Linked DNA regions of Caenorhabditis elegans. The protein of the gene in region 1 purifies or fractionates together with the protein of each later gene. This does not show direct contact. Each region holds a gene or a part of one and is shown in the gene's direction. Other genes may lie near its edges. The genes, in order: cah-2 and vha-13.

Region 1 (5,062 bases):
TATCTGAAAAATAATAGTTTTGTTTTTGAAGAAAATATTTCCGCACCATGTTTCTAAGGTTTCCTTTCGTCAGGAGTCAAGAATGATTGATTCAAATTCATAAACATTTTTTGTTCTAAATTTTGCCTGAAAAATGCTCAATAAATAACTTATTTTAAAGGATTAAAACCAATAAAGATATTCTCACTGTTTCAAATAAATTTTAAAACTCACCAGCTGTAGAAAATTGCCGGTCTTCAAAAGCAATTTTAATCTTATTTGAAGTTATAAAAATTTGTATTTTTGCTAAATAACTTCTAATAGAGAGGTTCTCAGTGCTTCGTCGGACATTTAGAGATTTCATCGAACATTTCTTGTCTTTTTCTCTTTAATCTTCCCACTATTTTCATTTGATGATCCTCCCGAAATCAAAAGAATTATTCATCAATTTACTGGATACGAGTTTCCCACGATTTGTCTATGGGCTCACACAATCTTTTTCGCCTACTCTCGCACCTCCGTCCCACATATTCAAGAGAGTATCAAACGGCAACATTTTTGTTATTTTCTTTCATCAAGCTCTTTCTTTTTCTTATCCACATTTTTCAGCTCATTCTCATGCATTTTTGGCACATTCTCGACTGACCCCGAAAAAGCCACTCTCTACCACTTTTGAATAGTGCTTTTGCACTAATAAAACTGCAGTTTCCTGAACGGAATACCTGGCAAATTGTGGGTCACAGCGGGGCGGTGAAGCAACGCCTTGCCGTTTCTAATCGGACTCCGTCTCGCGGCAGTAAATGTTTTGGCCCAATCTAATTTCTAACCAATTCGGCCCTCCCAGTCGTCATCCTGCGAAGAAAATACACGTTTTTGTTATGTTACACAGCAGTTTTGTTGAAAAAGAAAATATTTTCTTTGAGAAAAGGAGGATAAGTGTATGATATATAACTCGAATAATTGGCTCCATCAGTTATAACTAACTTTCTTCATTTTCCATATTTCTTTTCATCGTTTCACTTCATTTTCGGAGCATCCCCTTGCTCAATAAATTTTTACAAAAATTATCAATATTAAATAAAAAGCTTGAAGAGTTAAAATTTTCTAGCATCAGCCCAAGCTTAAAATATTGAAAAGAAGTAATAAAATTTAATTTTTTTCACAAAATGAAAAATAACATTATTTGTAATAAATGTGCTCCCATTTTTGACACCTTATCATAATAGGTTGCGTAGTACTTTAAACATTATCCACTAGACATCTAGTAAGGTATCTAACTATAAGACTTAGAATTTGATAAGTTTCAAAATTGTGCACCATATACCTGACAGTCCGTGCATTTTAGATTTTTTAACCATTATCTTTTTTGATTACTCTGTGTTGAATATGTATTTTACTATACCTCCAAGGTTCAGCAAAAAGCCCACACAGAAAATTTTCCTGACACTTGTTTTCTAATTTCGTGTCCAAAGATTTCCGGTCATCTTGTTTCAATTGCGTGCCCTTCTCCTCTCGTTTACTACTGATTCAAATATGCAAAATTGCTCGCCATGTCTCTGCGCTTCTTCACAAGCCACATTTCCGGCAATGAACACATCTAAAGGTGCTCCGTGAGCTGGCAATCTGAGTGTTTCATCTTCTTAACCAGTCCCACCTCATCATGTACTCCACCGAAAAAAGTGCACCCAATCAATCTTCCTTGTCTTTTTTTGGGGCTGAGCTCTCTTTTCGCTATTCGTACTACTCGTGAATGTACATTTTTGTCGTTTTCGACACCAATTAGCCGACAAACTCGTAAATAATTCTGAGACGAACAAGTACCGTGTCAGTTGTCACTGGCAACTTTCAGAGACTCTCTTTCTCTGCACTTTTTCTCTTTTTTCTTTGTTCTCTTTTGCTCATTCCCACTACCTTCATTCCAGAAGATTCCGCAGAATATTATGATACCATGGCTCTTGACAGCCTGTATATATCCTTGTGTTATAGGTAAGAAATCTGACTTCCCCGTGATTTAAAATCTGGAAGTTGAAATACACAAACTTCAAATATTCTGTTTATGACAACAATCATATTCATTATGTCTTACTATAATTTAGGGTTATGATTCACTAATCACGTATATAATTGAATACTCCTAGGTATTACACCTATAGTTAAAGTTTTGAAAATAGTTCAGCAGCTTACAAGCTGATGCATTTAACTTTCAAAAGTGGATTAGTTCCACTCACTCATAAATTCGACCAAAAAGTGTTTCCTATTAATTTTTAGTTTTAAAAATGTTTTAATTATTTGTATTTGAACATTTTGAAGATCCTGCGATACTGTTCTAAACTTTTCGAAAGTCAAAATATTACGTAAATTTGGCAGTTTACCAAAACTTTGCCAACAAAAGTTCCAAATTATTTTTTTTAATCTTTAAGCATAGAAGAATAGTTATAAATACATAAATACCATGACTGGTTTATATTTTCAACAATTCAATATTTTCAGGTCCCGACTTCTGGGGATTATTACACGGTGACTGGAGAATGTGTACAGCTGGTCAAATGCAATCACCAGTAAACATTGATCCTTCCCAACTTTTATATGATCCACATCTAATGCCTATAAACATTGAGGGAAATATTGTAAGTTCGTTTTCTATGCTTTCTGATTATGAGTTTCCCGTATAATTTTGTTCATTTTTCCAGGTGGAAGCAGTTTTCGAAAATACCGGACAACTTCCTGTGGTCACAGTTAAAGATCTACCAAATCGGCCAACAATCAATATAACAGGAGGACCAACAATGCCTTATCGTTATAAACTCCATCAGGTACCCTTTATTCGAAAAGGAATTTTTAGACCACGAGCAAATAAATTTAATTCAGATAAGCGTACACTTTGGAAGAGCAGATGAAGGAGAGAAAGGATCAGAGCATACTGTAGACAGAGTTCGATTTCCGGCGGAAATTCAGCTACTAGCATATAATAGTGCACTTTATCCAAATTTCAGTGTTGCAATGACATCACCAAGAGGGCTTCTTGCAGTTTCTGTAATTGTTGATGTAAGTACTTATACTTTTTCTAAAGTCAAAATTTGTATTTAGATTGGAAAGACTACATCTGTGGAGTTACGAAGATTAACGGTTGCGTCACAGAGCATTAACTATAAAGGTGCGTGTTTTTTCAATGGTACAGAAAGTATATAATTGAAAATGAAAAACTCAAAATCTTCACTCAAAATACCGGATGACCGGTTTACAGTGTAAGATCCTTTTTGTTTGGCATCTGGAACATGGTGCAACCATATTTTTAGAGTTTGTTCTACATGAATACTATTTCAATCTTGGTGTGAAAAATATAACTGCTAAATTTGGAACGGAAAAAAAAAGACAAGGTGGTCTGGGACCCACTGGAAAAAACCTGTGCCTTTAGCATTGCCTTACCAAATTACGATAACAAGAAATATTTCATAAAATCAAACGGCATTTTCAAACTGCGTTAAAATTTAGATTCATTTTTCAGGCCAGACTACAAATCTCACTGATTTTCAACCATCTGCACTTTTACCAAAAACCTCTCACTATGTGACATACGAAGGATCTTTAACTTTTCCCGGATGTCATGAAACTGTCACTTGGGTTATTTTAAATAATCCAATTTATATAACCAATGATGATGTAAGTCATAAATGAATCTAATGCAAAGGGCTGAAATAAATTGAAACATTTCAGCTTCAAATTTGGAATGAAATGCAAAAAACAGAAACAAAACAACCAGAACCATCATATATGACTCCTGCATATCGTCCATTGAAATCGTTAAATGGCCGTCTCGTTAGAACAAATATAAATGTTGGATCAAAAGTGAGAAAACTTGGTCTTCCAAATCTTTAATATAGTTAATTGTTCAGCAGTCTACTGTATCTTCAAGTTGTCCATCGAATGTTTACGTGGAAATGGGGTACCAAGCGAATCCTGGTAGAAATAAGCGGAATGATTCGGTAAGATACACGTCGCAGATAAATTTTAATATTTTATTTCAACAGGTTTCTCGAAGATATGTTCCAACATCGGAAGTTTTCGAAATCGATAGCATTCGTCCTGATGATGTTTCCAAAGCCGGTTCATTTTAGTAAATTACTGTACATTCTCTACTCTTCTTTCACTTTGAAAAACTTCGCGTTCTTGCTCATTCTTTCTCCGAAAGATTTAACTATTGATCTGTGTATTTCTGTATTTAATGACACTTTGGAACTATAAAATACGGGTTCGATTTTAAATGAAGTGTTTGACTCTCTTTCTGTAGAATTTTGTGATATTTTTTGACTGAACAAATAGTTAAAACCAATTTTATGAATAAAAAAGAACTCAAGAAATAAGAATCACAAAGAAAGATACTCAAATATTTTGTGATAATTTCATTAGAATCTAAATACTAACTGAGAGGAGAGAGCCAAGAAATAACTGGCAAGTGATTGCACGAAGTTTGATTTTAGAAAATGGAAAAAGTACAACGGGATTGAATAATATTATACATGTATTTACAACTCGGAACCGTCTTTTGGTGAAGTTAGATTATCGACAAGGAAGCGACGAGCCAATAGTGTGAAGAAAATAGCGAAACACAAAGCGATAACTGGAATCTTGTATAGAAGGGTATAGTCAAAGTTTGTTGATGCCAAGCGGGGAGCGTGGTGTTGGAATACCAGAGGTTGTGGATCTGAAAATATAAATTATTTTCAAGACAAAATGTTTCAATTCAAGTACCTCGAATGGGTTGGACAGCAGGTTGTGCGACATCTGGTACTTCTGATGAATTGACATTAACAGTAGTACCTTCTTCTCTCTCATCTGCATCTTCTTCTGATTCTTCGACATTTTCTGTTGGGACCGAGCTTGTTTCTTCACTTGGCTCTGTTTCTGTCGGGTTCTTTTGATTGTTGGCTGCTTCAACTTCTTTTTTAACAACAGATTCATCTTGAAACTTGAGTTGGGCAGCAAGAGTTTTCGCTTCTTCGGTTTGTTTTAATTGTCCATCTTCAGTTATCGGAAGAAGCGCAGTTTTCATGACACATCCGCATTCTTTACATTTCCACTCACA
Region 2 (5,381 bases), on another chromosome or scaffold:
ATGGTCTATTATTTCAATGCTTCTCTGTACATCACTCTTTGGACCAAAACTCTGGAGTGTTGGAATATTTGGATATGCTCTCAAGCATCTCCTGCTAGCCTGTGTTGGTCTTGGAACGATTTATCAGGCACTGGGCTACTTATCAGTCATCTTCACAGATGGTGTTGGAAAGAATGGATCAACTGTTGCTGGAACATCAGTTCTCTTCCCAGCCTGCCCACTTCTTGCAGTCATTGTTCCATATTGTATGATCTACAGCAAATCGGCATCTGGCGTCTATGATGATCTTATTGTTATATTTGTTCTTCAATTTGGAGCCGTTGCGGCAAAAGCCACAAATCGTCTGATTGTTGCACACATGAGCAGAAGTGAGCTCTCACTTTGGGATTGGATCTACATGGGGCCAATCGCATTGATGATCAATCAATACTACGACATCAAAATCAATGAGCCAACTCTTCTGAAGTACACGACTGTTTACGTTTATGCATCACTTTTAGTCTACTGTTTATTCATAACGCGCCAAATTTGCGACCATATGGGCATTTATTGTTTCAAAGTCACTGCACCAAGAGCTGGAAGTAGCAAGTAATTTCGATTGTATAATTAAATATGGCTTTTCACCTATAGTAATTTGTAATTTTAATTGTAAATGCGGGTGTTTATGAGCGGAAAAGGAATGTTTTGAAGTGCAACGCGTAATGCGTCGCGGTCTCAATTTCTTATCACAACCACAGATCAATCACTTTTCATCTTTTTTTTTGTCTCATCGTCTAAACCTTCAAGAATTCTAACGACTACGTAATTCTAAATAACTGAATGAGCAAATTGGGGAGAAAATTACATTTTCGTTGCGAGACCTTTCGTTTTTGAGCGTCCTGTGCCTTTGAAGAGATTACTGTATGGAAATATTGGTTTAACTTTTTTTTCAGAGTTTGCGGATATAATTTTTCTTTTTTTTCGTATCTATTTAATCGAAATTTAGAAAACAACTATTGTTATAATGATACTGTGGTCCAATTGTTAAGGCGAATAACTTGAAAATAGTTCCAAACGAACATAAATTTTCCGCTCAAACCTCGCAAATCATATTTTTCCTATCTAATAGAGTAACTTCGCTTCCACATTAGTTTATCAAATTTCGCTTGATGACAGACGTGTAACCTTTTCTCCCCGCTACCTAGATAGACGTAAACCTACACAACTTCTGCCACACAAAATTCACTCTCTCACATTCACTCCTCGCTGTATAAAATTCTCGGTTCAATAGGGCGAAGCTGCAACGCGGCGATGATTTCTAGTCGCACGACCGGCGGTTCCTGGTTTTTGCGACCGCCACGGCCACGCTCTCTCTATCTGCTCTCTGCTCTCGGCGCGCTGTCTCTCGCTAGCCTGCCGACGTTTCTCCTTGTCAATCGAACCACTTCTATTCGTTGTAGAATGCCGTGCAGTGCGCTCTCTTCCACATCTTCCGCTTTTTCCAACAACTTCTGTGAGCTTTTTTACCACATCTCTCTCCCCCCGTTTAGTCACAGGAATTACTCGTTTTTTTGTCTCGTTTACCTTTACTTTGATTTTTTCCTTTACAAAAGTTCTTGTAAATTGAATGATAAATTGATTTATATTCCAATTCTCGTTGAATATTTATAAGGGTTCAAGTTTATCCGATTAAACATTGCCCTGCCACTTTATATCTATTCTTTGTATTTTATATTTTGCATTATTGCTCGAATTAATGAGTTTTCCTACTTCTAAACCTAAAAATTCCATTGTCTTTTCGGTCTTCTTGTTGAAAAACGAGGTTTATTTTGATTTTCTTTTCGATTTCCATATAGCTTTCTAAATTCATTCATTCCAGGAAAAGATGGCCGCAGAATCTTCGTACGGATTCGTTTACGGAGTGTCCGGACCTGTCGTCACAGCCGAGAAGATGGCTGGATCGGCTATGTACGAGTTGGTTCGTGTAGGACATCAAGAGCTCGTCGGAGAGATTATTCGTCTCGAGGGTGACTACGCCACTATTCAAGTATACGAGGAAACATCTGGAGTCACAATCGGAGATCCAGTACTTCGTACCGGTAAACCACTTTCCGTCGAACTTGGACCAGGTATCATGGGATCGATTTTCGACGGAATTCAGCGTCCACTCAAGGATATTGCTGATATTACTCAATCCATCTACATTCCAAAGGGAGTCTCCACTAATGCTCTTTCTCGTGAAGCTCGCTGGGACTTCGTTGTGTCCAAGGATCTCCGTGTTGGAGGACACGTGACCGGAGGTGACATCATTGGAACCGTCGATGAGAACTTGCTCATCAAGCACAAGATTCTTCTACCACCAAGTGCATGCGGAACCATCACCTTCGTTGCTCCATCCGGGCAATACACAGTTGAGGACACCCTTCTCGAGCTCGAATTCGCCGGACGCAAGCAGAAATTCTCTATGCTCCAAATCTGGCCTGTCAGATCTCCAAGACCAGTCACAGAGAAGCTCGCTGCCAACAATCCACTTCTCTGCGGACAGCGTGTTCTCGACGCCTTGTTCCCATGTGTCCAAGGAGGAACCACCGCCATTCCAGGAGCTTTCGGATGTGGAAAGACTGTCATTTCCCAATCTCTCTCCAAATACTCCAACTCTGATGCTATTATTTACGTCGGATGCGGAGAGCGTGGAAACGAAATGTCTGAGGTAATTTTTTTGAAAATAATTTTAAAAACATTAGAAAAAATCAAATAAACAAGAAAGCCTTTCCATAATTTCGTTTTTGGAATCAATAGTTTTAATTTTTCAAAAAAAAATTGTGAAAAAGTTTAGTCAGAATAGTTTCGTTTAAGAATAAAATTTAGAAAACAATTAAAAATTAAAAGGTTTATGTTTCTTACTTTTTCCAATGTTTTGTCCCGCATTTAAATTATAAATTAACAATTTTGCCCCTATTTTTTACAATTCTAATTTTTTCTGTTTTTCAGGTACTCCGTGATTTCCCAGAGCTCACCATGGAGGTCGAAGGTGTCACCACTTCCATCATGAAGCGTACAGCTCTTGTCGCCAACACTTCCAACATGCCTGTCGCTGCTCGTGAAGCTTCCATCTACACTGGTATCACCCTTGCCGAATATTTCCGTGACATGGGTCTCAACGTTGCCATGATGGCTGACTCTACCTCTCGTTGGGCCGAAGCTCTTCGTGAGATTTCTGGTGAGTTTTAATCCGTTTAAAATATACTCATATTTGAAATTCATATTTTTTTCTTAATATTTTTGAAATTTCTCTGAACATTTTCAAATTTTCTTTTCAGGACGTCTCGGAGAAATGCCCGCCGATTCCGGATACCCAGCTTACCTTGCCGCTCGTCTCGCTTCCTTCTACGAACGTGCCGGACGTGTTAAGTGTCTCGGATCTCCAGAACGTGAAGGATCCGTCACCATTGTCGGAGCCGTATCACCACCAGGAGGAGATTTCGCCGATCCAGTCACATCCGCCACCCTCGGTATCGTACAGGTGTTCTGGGGACTTGACAAGAAGCTTGCTCAACGTAAACATTTCCCATCTATTAACTGGCTTATTTCCTACTCCGAGTACATGCGTGCTCTTGAGGAGTTCTACGAGAAGAACTACCCAGAGTTCGTCTCACTCCGTACCAAGTGCAAGGAGATCCTCCAGGAAGAAGAAGATCTTTCCGAAATTGTGCAACTCGTCGGAAAAGCTTCCCTCGCCGAATCAGACAAGGTCACACTTGAGGTTGCCAAGATCATCAAGGACGATTTCTTGCAACAGAACGGATACACCAAATACGATCGTTTCTGCCCATTCTACAAGACTGTCGGTATGCTCAAGAATATGATTGGATTCTATGACTTGGCCCGTCATGCTGTTGAAGCAACTGCTCAATCTGATAACAAGATCACATGGAACGTCATCAAGGATAGCATGGGAGATTTGATCTACCAGCTTTCTGCCATGAAATTCAAGGATCCAGTTGCCGATGGTGAAGCCAAGATTCGCAAGGATTACGAAGATTTGGCAGAGGCTATGGCTAACGCTTTCAGAAACCTCGAGGATTAAATTAATGTTTTTAGAAATTTTAAAATTGATTCTCTTGTTTGTTTCTGTTTTCGCCTCCCCGCTAGATTCTGTTCAGTTTTGCTGAGCGTGTACTTTTTAGTTAAAAGTATATGTTTTTCCTTGATCCCCTCACCCAATTCGCCTCCTTTCTCTACTTTTATCCTCTTTAAAGTGTTTGATTGATTTGACATTCCAAATTTCAGATATTTATTGCACCTTTTTTCTCTTTTGTAGATTTCTAAACTTCAAAAAATTCCAACCACACACAATGTATCTGGTCGCCTTACAACTCCCGTTTTAAACAACAATTTCACTTATATTAATCAATATTTTTGGTATTCTTCTTGTTGAATAGACTACTTTACTTGTGCCCTTCCATTTCTTTTTTTGCGACAACCAACCCGTATAGTCTTACGAACCACGTTTTACTGTGTTGTGATATGTATAATACTTTTGAGACACACCAATTCAACTATAGCAATAAACTTTAGGAAAATCACAAATATCTCGCACGCAGGTCTCGTTTTCAAAATGGAATTGGATTCGGTGAAGCAGCAACAACAGCAGAACGCTTGCTGTGAATATATTCTACCAATTAAGAAGCGACGGTGTAAGATGCTGGTGAAAAAGGGAAATCGGTTCTGTGGAGAGCATTCAATTCACGATCAGAATAACACTGATCGTATGGTTTGCCCGAATGATGGAAAACATACGATTCTGAAGGCAGATCTAGAGATTCATCTGACAAGGTGTAATTCTAGAATCAGAGATGCAGAATATATCAAAATTGATGCAAATTCTATTCGTGGCGAGACCAAACGCACCGATAAAATTGATCGAAGAGCCACTGAAGATGAGATTTGTACCACTGTGCACAAGATCTGGAAGTGCTATGAGACGGATGTAATGGATCGTTTGATTGTTGAGCAACAAAGAAATGAGCTCGTCGAGCAAAATATCGCACAAAATTCAGATCTGAACAACACGAAAAAGAAGCAATTATACCAGATTTCGTCTATTTTAGGTTTTATAAAATGCATTTCCATTTTAATAATTTTCTTTTCAGGTCACATCGAATCCACAGGGCTACTTCCAACTTGCTCCAAATCTTGCATGTTCGAGCTCGGAGCTGGAAAAGGTCAACTAGCTTATTGGATCTCCAAAGCAGCGCCAAATGGAAATTATATTCTCATGGATCGCTCTGGATCACGAAATAAATTTGATACTGCTGCATTTCGAGAGAATCCGAATTTATCAATGAAACGCTTCCGATGCTCAATTGAACATATGGACTTGAGCAAGATTGATGAGCTGA

What was found.
Region 2: the proteins of cah-2 (region 1) and vha-13 fractionate together in Caenorhabditis elegans (co-fractionation; one large-scale study listed by BioGRID). This does not show direct contact.

Annotation. Positions count from the first base shown.
Region 1 is NC_003280.10:7,479,949-7,485,010, reverse strand, and holds cah-2 (Putative carbonic anhydrase-like protein 2), read left to right. Parts: upstream 1-1,901; 5' UTR 1,902-1,919; coding exon 1,920-1,965; intron 1,966-2,469; coding exon 2,470-2,606; intron 2,607-2,669; coding exon 2,670-2,792; intron 2,793-2,847; coding exon 2,848-3,024; intron 3,025-3,066; coding exon 3,067-3,133; intron 3,134-3,484; coding exon 3,485-3,639; intron 3,640-3,693; coding exon 3,694-3,825; intron 3,826-3,872; coding exon 3,873-3,962; intron 3,963-4,007; coding exon 4,008-4,094; 3' UTR 4,095-4,260; downstream 4,261-5,062. Other genes in the region: ubc-6 (UBC core domain-containing protein), read right to left, coding at 4,503-4,681, 4,729-5,062.
Region 2 is NC_003283.11:14,349,853-14,355,233, forward strand, and holds vha-13 (V-type proton ATPase catalytic subunit A), read left to right. Parts: upstream 1-1,856; 5' UTR 1,857-1,864; coding exon 1,865-2,689; intron 2,690-2,970; coding exon 2,971-3,199; intron 3,200-3,299; coding exon 3,300-4,066; 3' UTR 4,067-4,570; downstream 4,571-5,381. Other genes in the region: cept-2 (diacylglycerol cholinephosphotransferase), read left to right, coding at 1-592; Y49A3A.3 (tRNA:m(4)X modification enzyme TRM13), read left to right, coding at 4,598-5,090, 5,133-5,381. UniProt on the Caenorhabditis elegans protein: Catalytic subunit of the V1 complex of vacuolar(H+)-ATPase (V-ATPase), a multisubunit enzyme composed of a peripheral complex (V1) that hydrolyzes ATP and a membrane integral complex (V0) that translocates protons.